Linked DNA regions of Macaca fascicularis. The protein of the gene in region 1 binds, or shares a complex with, the protein of each later gene. Links are inferred from orthologs where the notes say so. Each region holds a gene or a part of one and is shown in the gene's direction. Other genes may lie near its edges.

The links. Proteins that work in one complex are often made in the same cells at the same time.
Region 2: MEPCE (region 1) and LARP7 share a complex: the UniProt entries of both Homo sapiens proteins name them as parts of the 7SK RNP complex. The link is inferred for Macaca fascicularis from reciprocal best matches to the Homo sapiens genes MEPCE and LARP7.

What each region holds. Positions count from the first base shown.
Region 1 is NC_088377.1:49,005,891-49,012,315, forward strand, and holds the start of MEPCE (7SK snRNA methylphosphate capping enzyme), read left to right. Parts: upstream 1-2,995; 5' UTR 2,996-4,223; coding exon 4,224-5,894; intron 5,895-6,425. UniProt on the Homo sapiens protein: S-adenosyl-L-methionine-dependent methyltransferase that adds a methylphosphate cap at the 5'-end of 7SK snRNA (7SK RNA), leading to stabilize it.
Region 2 is NC_088379.1:118,137,606-118,143,851, forward strand, and holds the start of LARP7 (la-related protein 7), read left to right. Parts: upstream 1-2,558; 5' UTR 2,559-2,702; exon of another isoform or gene 2,703-3,464; intron 3,465-4,397; 5' UTR 4,398-4,486; intron 4,487-5,188; 5' UTR 5,189-5,283; intron 5,284-6,246. UniProt on the Homo sapiens protein: RNA-binding protein that specifically binds distinct small nuclear RNA (snRNAs) and regulates their processing and function.

The sequences.
Region 1 (6,425 bases):
CTTCATGCTAAATTTTCTTTTGTTTAGGAAAATGTATTTTTCATAAAAACCTGTTTAGGTTAACATATTATTATTTCTAATCAAACTTTAAATGTTTCTCAATTCTAATTTCTAATATGTTTATATCAACAGATACAAACCAAATAAAAGCTCTTTGGAGTCCTCCATAATTTAAGAGTATAAAAGGGTTCTCAGACCAAAAAGTTTGAGAACTGACCTAGTGAAATAACTTGTCAGTCTTGCCAATTTTTAAAAAATAAACAGTAATTCTCTCTCCCCACACACCATTCAGAATGTGTTCCCACACTTCCTCCTCCTAACCATCCAATCATTCCCTTCTTTACCTTGTTCCTCAAATCCTTGGTCTAAGAGAAGTAAACCCTTCAGCATTGTCATCTAATCCAGACTCCCTGAGTCTCAAAAAAGCGGTAAAGAGTATATTTCAGCCAGGCGCAGTGGCTCACGCCTGTAATTCCAGCACTTTGGGAAGCCAAGGTGGTCGAATCACCTGAGGTCAGGAGTTCAAGACCAGCCTGACCAACATGGTGAAGCCCCGTCTCCACTAAAATACAAAAATTAGCCGGGCGTGGTGGCAGGCGCCTGTAATCTCAGCTAATTGGCAGGCTGAAGCAGGAGAATCACTTGAACCCAGGAAGTGGAGGCTGCAGTGAGCCAAGATCGTGCTATTGCACTCCAGCCTGGGCAAAATGAGCGAGACTCCATCTCAAAAAAAAAAAAAAAAAAAGTATATTTCAAATCTTTCTTAAGCCAGAGTCTGATCTTCCTTTTTGCATTAATAACAGTATGTGGACGCCTGCTTATTTTCATGCATCAATTAACTAATAGCAGTTTCCTCCCTTCTTTCCTTTTTCCCTTCCTCCCTCTTCCCTCCCTCTCTTCCTTCTTCCCTCCTGTCTCCCTTTGTCCCTCCATCCCTTCCTCTCTCCCTCCCCCTCCCGCTTCCCTCTCTCCCTCCCTCTCCTTCCTTCCTTGTCCTCCTCCCTTCCTCTCTCCCTCTCCTTCCTCCTTCCCTCCTCTCCCTCTTCCCTCCCTTCCTCCTTTCCTCCCTCCTCTTCCTCCCTCCCTCCTTCCCTCTCTTCCTCCCCCTCTCCTTTCTCCCCCTCCTCCTTCCCACTTCCCTCTTTCCTCCCCCTCCCCCTTCCCTCTTTCCTCCCCCTCTCCTTCCTACCCCCTCCCTCCCCCTCCTCCCTTCCCCACCTCTCCTCCTCCATCCTTCCTCTCCCTCCTCCCTCCCTCCCTTTTCGCTTCCTCTCTTCACCCCCTCCTCCCTCGCCCCTCCCCTTTTTCCCTTCCTCTATTCACCCCCTCCTCTCTCCCCCTCCTCCCTCCCTGCCCCCTTTCTCCCTCCCTCTCTCTTCTCCTTCCCTCCCTCCTTCCTTCCTCCCCCTTCCCTCCCTTGCTTGCTTCCTTCACGTTTGTGCACAAGCTCAGCAAGCCTGATTTAAAACGTTTAACAAGAAAGAAGAGGCAGGTGGATCACCTGAAGTCAGGAGTTCAAGACCAGCCTGGCCAATACGTGAAACCCCGTCTCTACTAAAAATACGGAAAAATTAGCCGGGCACGGTGGGGCGTGCCTATAATCCCAGAATTTTGCGAGGCCAAGAGGTCACCTGAGGTCAGGAGTTCGAGACCAGCCTGGCCAACATGGAGACACTCCATCTCTACTAAAAATACAAAATTAGCTGGGCGTGGTGGTGGGCGCCTGTAACCCCAGCTCCTCAGGAGGCTGAGGCAGGAGAATCGCTTGAACCCGGGAGGCGGAGGTTGTAGTGAGCGGAGATTGCGCCACTGCACTCCAGCCCGGGCGACAGAGCAAGACTGTCTTTTAAAAAATAATAAAAAATAAAAGATAATTTTTAAAAAGCCCCAATCCCAAATGCACCTTGCAATCCAAAGGGAAGAAGTTTTGGGGAGAAGTTCTTCCCATTTGGGGGGTGCTCCCATTTTCCTCTCTCTTCCCTCACCCCTTATTCTCTCTCAGGGATAGGGGTTCAGTTCGGAGGTGTCCCTGAGCCACACGTCCTCGCCTCTCCCCGTAAACGGTGGCGTCCCCCTCTCTCTTTCCCGTTCCTTCCCTTCCTTCCTCCCACCATGAGGGAATCTCCCCTCCACTCCCACTCCCGCCAAGGCACCGTGATCCTCATTCTCACTCATATTGTCAGTGCCCGTCAGGAGACTGGGCTGTTTTTGTCTGTTTCTTGGGGACGACAGATTCTGAGGAAAAAGGGCCAAGAGCTGGTTGTCGCCCTGAGAAAGTTTCTCCTCAGGCAACGGGTGCCAGGACTGGCGGCGCCTAGCACCTTCACCTACAACCAGAAACTAGCCGGCTACCTTCAGGAGCAGGGAGGACCTAAAGGCGAGGTGCAAAACCAGCTGGCGCAGCGACTCCGCAAGCCTCTCACACCTCAACCCAGGTTTCCCGCCACCAAGAAAAGGCACGAGGACGTCCTGCGCGCTAGCTCCACCCCCGGGAGGCGCGCTCGCGGAGTCTGAGGCGCATGCGCAACTGGAAACAGCGTCTGCGTTTCCGCGGCTGAGGTAATTCCGCCATCTTTCACCCGAACGTCCCGGGAAAACTACAAATCCCAGAATCCTCTTTGGTGTCACATATTTTTAGGCGGCGGCCGCAGCGCCTGATTGTTCTTGAAGCACATCTTACTAACTTTTCTCTGTTTCAGACTGCCTTTTCCTCCCTCTTTCCGTTCCCTGATTCCTCCTCTTCCTGCTGGTCTCCTTCACGCCCTCACTTTAGGATTTTGAGACTTTCCGGGACCCCACTGTCACCCCTGTCACCCGCTCCTCGGCCCAGCACTCCGCTGGCAGGAAGACCGGGCTGCGAATCTCCCCGGGAAAACGCCGTAGATTCGCTTCTTCCTCATTGGCCGAAGCGGGGGGGGCGGGGCCCAGCGCGGACCGAACCCCCGTCCCCGCCCACACTCTCTGGTATATAAGTCGGCGCGGCGCCGCGGCGGGCGTTTGGGGAGGCCCGTGAGCTGACGGGCCAGTGAGCGAGCGTCGGGAATGGGCGGAGGCGTTGGGGTCCGGGCCGTGGGTGTGGAGGCGGAGAGGAAGGCGTGGTGTGGCGTCTCCAGGTGATTGCGATTGGGGGAAGGCAGAGGAACCAGAGAACGACTCAGCCGTTTCGGGGGAAGAGGAAGTTGGACAACACCGGCTGTTTTAGTGCTTTTTATTTTTCCCCAATTCAGCAGAGAATATTTTCGAGGGGGGTGAGTTATAATGACCTATCGCGTTTTACTGAGCCCAGTTCCACTCCTGCCCTTCCTCGGCTTTGTAGGGTCTCTCTGCTCCTTCGGAAGCGCTTCTAAGAAGATGGGCAGAGGGGGGAGGTGTGCTACCAACAGCTCATGAATAATTCATGAGCACCGCCCTTCGTCGGGAAGCCCTGCCCCTCCGGATCGCGCTGACGCACGCTGCGTTTACCAAACTTAAGGAAGCGACGTCACAGGCCCTACCCCTAAGACGGGAGGCGGGGCGCCACCTCCAGCACGTGCTGCCTGTACCCGCGCAAGCCCAAAAGGGTGTGCGCAGGCGCTGCTCACTAGGGGGAGGAAGGAGGCGGGGTGGGGAGGTTGTTGGATTTAGAGCCGGGTGGAGACCGCTGAGACTCATTCCTCAGGAACAAGGGTCGGGTGTCAAGGAGACCTTTTCACACCAGGTCCCGTCCCCCGCCTACGGTGGGTGGGATCGCGCGGCAGAGACAAAGGAGATCAGTAGGGCCGGACCTAGCTGCGCAGGGAAGTAGGGTGTCAGTTTGGGGTGGTGGGCTTTTGCGGGGGCTGTGTGGGGGGTTATATTTAAACTCCCAGAGCCGTTAAGTTGGTTCGTACTCCGATGCGCGCGCAACCAGGGTGGTGGCGGAGTGCGCATGCGTGGTTCCGGGGCGAAGGGAACGCGCGCTTGCCGTGCGCGCTCGCGGCGGGGTGGTAGTGGCGGAGGAGAAAGGGGTCGGCGCACGCGCGGTTGAGTGCTCGAGTAGTTCGGGTGTCGCGGGCATCTTGTTTTGGTCTCGCGGGCGAGTGGGGCGCACTTCGCGGGGAGGCGCTTGGGCGCGAGACTAGGCGAGAAGAGCAGAGCTGCGCGCGCACTCGGGAAAGGGGGGGAAGGGAGCAGGGTCCAGGCAGGGGGGGTTAAGCCCCCTGATCCCCCTCGTTACCCCGACTGGGACGGAATAAGGGGAGGAAATGATCGAGATGGCGGCGGAGAAGGAGCCGTTTCTGGTGCCGGCCCCGCCGCCGCCGCTCAAAGATGAGTCGGGCGGAGGGGGCGGCCCCACTGTGCCACCGCACCAAGAGGCCGCCTCTGGGGAGCTCTGCGGCGGGACGGAGCGTGGTCCGGGTCCTTGCGCGCCGTCTGCGGGGTCCCCGGCCGCTGGGGTCGGTCGAGAGAGCCCCGGGGCCGCGGCCACCCCCCCCGGTGGTCCCCAGGCGCAGCAGCACCGAGGAGGCGGCCCCCAGGCGCAGTCGCACGGGGAGGCCCGCCTGTCGGATACCCCGGGGCGAGCCGCTCCCCCGGACGTGGGGGAGGAGCGCCGGGGAGGGGGCGGGACAGAGCTGGGTCCCCCTGCTCCTCCTCGACCCCGCAATGGCTATCAGCCCCACCGGCCACCTGGGGGGGGCGGGGGCAAGAGGAGAAATAGCTGTAATGTAGGGGGAGGTGGGGGAGGCTTTAAACATCCGGCCTTCAAGAGGCGCAGGCGGGTGAATTCGGACTGTGACTCTGTGTTACCCTCCAACTTCCTCCTGGGGGGCAATATCTTTGATCCCCTAAACCTGAATAGCCTCCTGGATGAGGAAGTGAGCCGCGCCCTCAACGCAGAGACCCCTAAGTCATCCCCCCTTCCGGCCAAAGGGCGAGATCCAGTGGAGATCCTCATCCCCAAAGATATTACTGACCCGCTCAGTCTCAATACTTGCACTGATGAGGGCCATGTAGTTCTTGCTTCGCCACTCAAGACTGGTCGGAAGCGGCATAGACACCGGGGACAGCACCACCAGCAGCAGCAGGCAGCCGGAGGGAGTGAGAGCCACCCCGTGCTGCCCACAGCCCCTCTCACCCCCTCACTCCACGGGGAGGGCGCCTCACAGCAGCCGCGGCACAGAGGCCAGAACCGGGATGCCCCCCAACCCTATGAACTCAACACAGCCATCAACTGCAGGGATGAAGTGGTGTCTCCGCTTCCATCTGCTCTACAGGGTCCCTCAGGCTCCCTATCAGCCCCTCCAGCTGCCTCAGTTACCTCTGCACCCCCATCTTCCTCCTCCCGACATCGCAAACGTCGCAGGACTTCCAGCAAGTCGGAGGCAGGGGCTAGGGGTGGAGGCCAGGGTTCCAAGGAAAAGGGCCGAGGGAGTTGGGGAGGCCGTCACCACCACCACCACCCACTGCCTGCAGCAGGCTTCAAAAAGCAACAGCGCAAGTTCCAGTATGGGAATTACTGCAAATACTATGGGTACCGCAATCCTTCCTGTGAGGATGGGCGCCTTCGGGTGTTGAAGCCTGAGTGGTTTCGGGGCCGGGACGTCCTAGATCTGGGCTGCAATGTGGGCCATCTGACCCTGAGCATTGCCTGCAAGTGGGGCCCGTCCCGCATGGTGGGCTTGGATATAGATTCCCGGCTCATCCATTCTGCCCGTCAGAACATCCGACACTACCTTTCCGAGGAGCTGCGTCTCCCACCCCAGACTGTGGAAGGGGACCCGGGGGCAGAGGGTGAGGAAGGGACCACCACCGTTCGAAAGAGGAGCTGCTTCCCAGCCTCGCTGACTGCCAGCCGGGGTCCCATCGCTGCCCCCCAAGTGCCCTTGGATGGAGCGGACACATCAGTCTTCCCCAACAATGTTGTCTTCGTCACGGTAAGAGGGTCCAGAGGCTCTTGGAATAGGGGTCAGGTGTGAAGATGAGATTAAACGGGAATGTGGCAGGGAAGGTTATGACCCAGTTCCTCAAAAGAGAGGTCTGGGTTGGCAAGTGAGAGTCTCTGCTGGGCATCTCTCCCCTCTTATAACCTGAAAAGGTGGGGTCCTCCCCTCTTATAACCTGGAAAGGTGGGGTCTCTACCTTGGGGCATTGACCCTGGAGTCCTTTCTCATGACTGCAAGGATCTCCAAGATAAAGGAAGACTCTTTTTTTTTTTTTTGCAGTGCTCTGGGCTTGGCCTATAATCCACACTGGTCCACCTTCCCTTCCCTTGAAGGCTGCTGCTCACTAGGGAATTCGATCCAGGTGGAACTTGGTCCTCAGATTGACTGAAGGAGCCTGAGATGGGGGTCGGGCATGGAATGTCTTCTAGGGAGATTAGGGTAGCAGCAGACTAATATTGGCGTTTCTGCCCTTTGATAGCCACCTTGCTCCCATCAGCGGCTTTTGTTTTTCTAGACAGTTTG
Region 2 (6,246 bases), on another chromosome or scaffold:
GCATGGTGGCTCAGGCCTGTAATCTCAGCACTTTGGGAGGCCCTGGCGGGTGGACCATGACATCAGGAGCTCGAGACCAGCCTGGCCAACATGGTGAAACCCCGTCTCTACTAAAAATACAAAAATTAGCTGGGCATGGTGGCATGCGCCTGTAGTCCCAACTACTCAGGAGGCTGAGGCAGGAGAATTGCTTGAACCCGAGAGGCGGAGGTTGCTGTGAGCAGAGATCGCTCCACTGCACTCCAGCCTGGATGACAGAGTGAGACTCCATCTCAAAAAAAAAAAAAAAAAGAAATATAACTCTCACATCTTATCTCCCTCCCCTCCAGCGCACATAAACTGCTGATGCCTAATAATGCCAAGAAGATAAAAGAGAGATCCAGAAAACCACTCCTGGGCTGGATATGCTGTGTACATAGATGAGAATACATGGTACAGACACAGTGCTGGGCATGTGGCAGTCATTAATATCAGATCTGTTTAATAGCTACCATGTATTCAGTGCTACCATATGCTAGAGACTGTTAAATGCTTTATTTGGAGGTTTCGCTTTTGTTTGCTTTTTAACTTTTCTTTTTCTTTGATAGAGACAGGGTTTCTCTCTGTCACCTAGGCTGGAGTGCAGTGTTGCAATCATAGCTCACCGCAGCCTCAAACTCCTGGGCTCAAGCAATCCTCCCAGCCTCCCAAAGTGCTATATTATAAACTACATTATATACATTATATGATGTTAATTATATACATTATAATTATTATGTAATTATATAATATATAAATATATTACTGTTATATAATATGTAATTAATTATTGTGTGTAATCATATATATTATATAACTATTTATTGATTACATACTATGTATCAAGCAGGAATTGGACGAGACACTTTACATATAGTATTTATCAGTCTCATAATCCTGAAGAATAAGTATTACAATTTACATATTAGGAACCCAATATTTACTAATTTAGGATTACTTATATGCTATTTCGCAATTGCAAGATAAATTCTCTATTATTTTCCTAAATTGAGATATTACTTCTGGAAAGGTATAGTTTAAAAAGAACTTGGAAGATGGAAACTCTTAAAGGATGGTTAAATTCGATTACAGGAGAAAACCTCAAAAAAAAAGCTAACTGGATCTTTTAAAATCTACAAGAGCTCTAATACTTCTTCACTGAAAGTCAACACCCTTTCTTTTTTTTTTTTTTTTTTGAGACGGAGTCTGGCTCTGTCGCCCGGGCTAGAGTGCAGTGGCCGGATCTCAGCTCACTGCAAGCTCCGCCCCCCGGGTTTACGCCATTCTCCTGCCTCAGCCTCCCGAGTAGCTAGGACTACAGGCGCCCGCCGCCTCGCCCGGCTAGTTTTTTTTTTTTTTTTTTTTGTATTTTTTAGTAGAGACGGGGTTTCACCGTGTTCGCCAGGATGGTCTCGATCTCCTGACCTAGTGATCCGCCCGTCTTGGCCTCCCAAAGTGCTGGGATTACAGGCTTGAGCCACCGCGCCCGGCCACCCTTTCTTAACTTAGCATTAATCAGAAAAAATTATTTAAGATAACAGCATCATATATTTAAGTGAGATGCAAAGATAAAGAGTTTTTTCCAAGTGTTCATCTGTCCACGTCTACCAGCCAATTCACCTGCTGACCGACTTCTAACAGGTGAAAGATTAATCTCCAAAGAAGTTTTTAAAGATCCCAAATGTTCTGTGATAATTATATACATACATACATCTACAGATATACGTACATACACACACATATATATACCTTGTGCTACGATATGTACAGATACAATACATATACATAAAACTCGGTGTTCTCAGTAAAGTATGAGCCATTTTTCATTTAATTACAAGATGTTTTTCCTTTTGTTTTTAGACAAGGAGGATTTTTTGAACCTAACCCTGAACCTCTAAATAGTTCAGATAACAAAGTTTTGGAATCACGAATTCAACATTGTTAAGAAACCATCCAGTCCAAATAAACAAAGGAAACCCACATATCATTTGCCAAGATTCTAATAACCATAATCCTGTGTCACCAAATGACAATGGAGACTCGATCCTTTATCAGTCCTAAATACGAACAGCAAAGTCCCCTTTGGTCCTCATACGTACTCGAAATTGCAAAGCAGGGCCTGGGAAAAGCGGTGAAGAGGCAACCCTTATTACAAGCAGTCCGAGTAGCTGTTACTAATCCTGGTTCCAAACAGCATCCTTCCCGGTTCTCTTCTTACGGAGCAGAGTCTTTTGTCCCTTCGCCCCAAATCGCTCAAGCCATTCCTAGGAAAGCTCGAGAAACACTTCACCTCACCTGTCAAAATTACAGAAAATCCACTTTCGAATTTTTCCCGCGAAAGAATGTGACGTCATTAACGCGGGACCTCACCAGATGAGGACCCAAAACTTGGCCCGTCCACCTCCGCCCAAGCCAAAAACCGCCGTTTTCAAACCGCCAATCAAATTCTTCCTTGGCTTCGAGGCTCTCAGCCGGCCGCGCTCTCCGATGCCCCGCCCTCCCGGAACCACCTCGCCTGTGACGTAGGTGGCGCGCGCACTGCCTTGGGCCCGTCTTTCTCGAGCGGGACCGGCGAACGTTGTCGCTCATCCTATGACGCGAAAGTAACCAAGACTATCAGGATCGGGAGACGGAAAGGGCTGAAGGCCGCAGTACTTGACCCTGTATTTTGGGAGTTGAACGGAGTAAGTTACAAGCGGCGTATAGGGTCGCACAGCTTGGGCGACGTCTGATTAACTCTCCGTCCTTTTTCTTGCGGTCCACTCTATCATTTGTCGTCCTTCTTACCCCGCCTCCCGCCTGCGCATCCATCAATTCCTTGACCTAGTTATCTATGCGCACGCGCAAAAGTCTTCCGGCAGTACTTGTAGTTCTCGTTTTCAGAGAGTAGGGGCGCATAGGGGCCCAGCATGGGGAGGTTTGGGGCGCGCCCTGCCTATGACGTTGTCCTTGTGGAAGTACGGGTGCCGAGAGAAGCAGTAGTCAGTAAAGACAGTGCAGTATTTCGCAGATTGGAGCTGACTTGTGGCTGCCAGAGGATAGTGAACGTGAGGATTTATATTCTAAAATTATCATCTTCTTTTGCAGGACTCTGCCATAGTCCTCAAAGAGTTAAAAATCCAGTTATGGAAGGGAACTAACAAGTGCTAGATACGGTGTGCAGAGTGCGTTAGCAAAAAAACTTAAGCGAAAACAAATGAGGAGGCAGTTAATTAGAGGACACAGGGTGGTGGAACATCTCAAAGAGTAAGATGCCATTTAACCTGGGCCTTGAAAATTTAGTAAGGAAATTTAGACGAGAAGATTCAGACAAAGCAGAAGACACAGGCCACTACGTGTTGAGGGACTTGAATTGTAAGCAGTGACTAGAACAATGATTCTTAACCTGTTGTGAAACGCTTTTGAAAACCTAATAAAAGTTATGGATTAGCTTCTCAGGAAAACATGTATGTACCTTTTAAAACATTTTGCGAGGCCGGGCACCGTGGCTCACGCCTGTAATCCCAGCACTCTGGGAGGCCGACACGGGCGGATCACTTGAGGTCAGGGGTTCAAGACCAACCTGGCCAATGTGACAAAACCGCGTCTCTACTAAAAACACAGAAATTAGCGGGGAGTGGTGGTGCACGCCTGTAGTCCCTTAAGAGGCCGGGTTGGGAGAATCTTGAACTCGGGAAGTGGAGATTACAGTGAGCCAGGATCGCGCCACTGCACTCCAGCCTGGGCGACAGAGAGAGGCTCCGTCTCCAAACAAACATTTCGCATATAATTTCCTCAGGAAAAATTACGAAATAATTTTAAATAGCAAACACACACAAATGACTTGGTGTCCTGTCTAACTCAGTCTTCCAGGTTATCTGTCTTTCGTGATCTTTGAACTATTTTTCAACCATGTAACCCGCTACAACAACATGGAAATGAGTTTGTCCAGTAAAGATGCAATTAATTATTATTCTGAGCAGTATTTATTAATATTTATTTCAACGTTCCTTATTGCCTATGTACGTGCTTTTTTTTTTTTTTTTTTTTTTTAAGAAGGAGTCTGGCTCTGTCGCCCAGGCTGGAGTGTAGTGGCCGGATCTCAGCTCACTGCAAGCTCTGCCTCCCGGGTTTACGCCATTCTCCTGCCTCAGCCTCCCGAGTAGCTGGGACTACAGGCGCCCGCCACCTCGCCCGGCTAGTTTTTTGTATTTTTTAGTAGAGACGGGGTTTCACCGTGTTAACCGGGATGGTCTCGATCTCCTGACCTTGTGATCCTCCCACCTCGGCCTCCCAAAGTGCTGGGATTACAGGCTTGAGCCACCGCGCCCGGCCGTACCTGCTTTTTAAATTCTTCTTTGAACTGGTTTTTAACACTTAACTGATTCCTTTATTTACAGTCCAGCACCACATACCGACAGACCGCATGTATGACAGTGGTCCCATAAGATTATAGGTGTGTAGTAGGCGATACTACCTAGGTTTGTAGGTGAGTACATCATACAATAACTACATACCCTACGATGTACTTACTCACCTGAATATGCATTTCTCAGAATGTGTCCTTGTCATTAAGCAACCCATGACTGTGCTTAAATCTTTACCATGTATTCCATTTTATATTTGTACAAGAGTCTTAATTTTACCTTATCTTTAAAATGTATTATTTACAATTTAACGGAGCCCACAAGAATTCTTGTCCAGACAAAGTTGCATGGACTTCAGATTAAGAATTCCTGAGTCAGAACATAGAGTCCATGGTGATAAATTGCAGGAAATTCTAACAAAAGGTAGACAATGTGGGATCAAACATACCTGGGATAATTTACTTAGCTAGCTTGGGCCAAGTCACATAACTTTTTTGAGTTTTTGTATTAAGAAGATGGAAGAAACTGCTACCTAGTGGGATTGTGAGGATTTACAAAAATGTATATAAAATTACTGGTATTATTACCCAGTAGCTTTTATTCTGCATTTAAAGCAACTAAAATGTTACTTTTTTTTTTTTTTTGGAGTCTTGCTCTGTTGCCCAGGTTGGAGTGCAGTGGCACAATCTTGGCTCACTGCAAGCTCCGCCTCCCGGGTTCACGCCATTCTCCTGCCTCAGCCTCCCGAGTAACTGGGACTACAGGCGCCCGCCACCACACCCGGCTAATTTGTTTTCTTTTTTTTTTTTTTTTTGTATTTTTAGTAGAGATGGGATCTCACCTTGTTAACCAGAATGGTCTCCATCTCCTGACCTCGTGATCCACCGCCTCAGCCTCCCAAAGTGCTGGGATTACAAACGTGAGCCACTGCGTCGTGACTTTTTTTTTTTTAAACAATGTTTTCTTAAACTGCATATTATGTTATGGGAAGGTGCTAAGGAATTTCTAATGTTGCAAGTTTTGACAGAAGCATCACAAAACCAGGTCTGTATTTTAGATGGGTTATACATAGGCTTCTGCTGAGAATGGATGACTTACAGAACAGTTTATAAACTATTGGCATATTCTAGTGACAGTTGTAGCAGTAGTTGTAGAAAACACTGGATGGAGATGAGAGCCATTTCAAAAGTCAAACTGGTAGGATTTAACAAGAGTTTGGATAGAATAATGGTTACTTGTGTTCTATATCTTAGCAATTTGAAGTGCTTTTATTTACATTATTTTGGCTAATGCTAACAACCTTATAATGTGAGTATGATTTTTATCCATATTTTATAGACCGCAGAGAGATGGGGTAACTTCCTCAAAATCCACACAGCTAATAAGTAGCTTGATTGGTTAACTTGGTGGAATATGGCATCCTTAAATAAGTTGAGGATGGTAGAAAGAACAGGTGTGGATAAGAAAGACAATGAGTTTGATTTGGAATGTGTGGAGTGACAACACACATACCTGTTATCACAGGACATTGAGAAGTATGGACTTTGAGGATCAAGACTAACGAAAGTATTATAACTTCCTGATTCTCTACAGTCAATGTATAAAGAAGCTAAATTATACCATATCTTATGTTCCTTGCTATTTAATCTAAATCGAAGGTAAATCATTCTGAACTTAAATACTTCAAGCCACAAAAATAATCCTTAGGAAAAGAATGAAGGAGGGTCTCTGGGCTGAGAGATGAGAATGATAAGGAAAGTCTGGTTTCTGGGAAAATTGTGGCTTTCTGCGCCTATATATTTCTGTCTACTTTTCCTTAGGGCTTTGACAAGGAAATGAATTGGAGAGCAGGTAGTCTGCCCTTTATAACTTAATTTTTTCA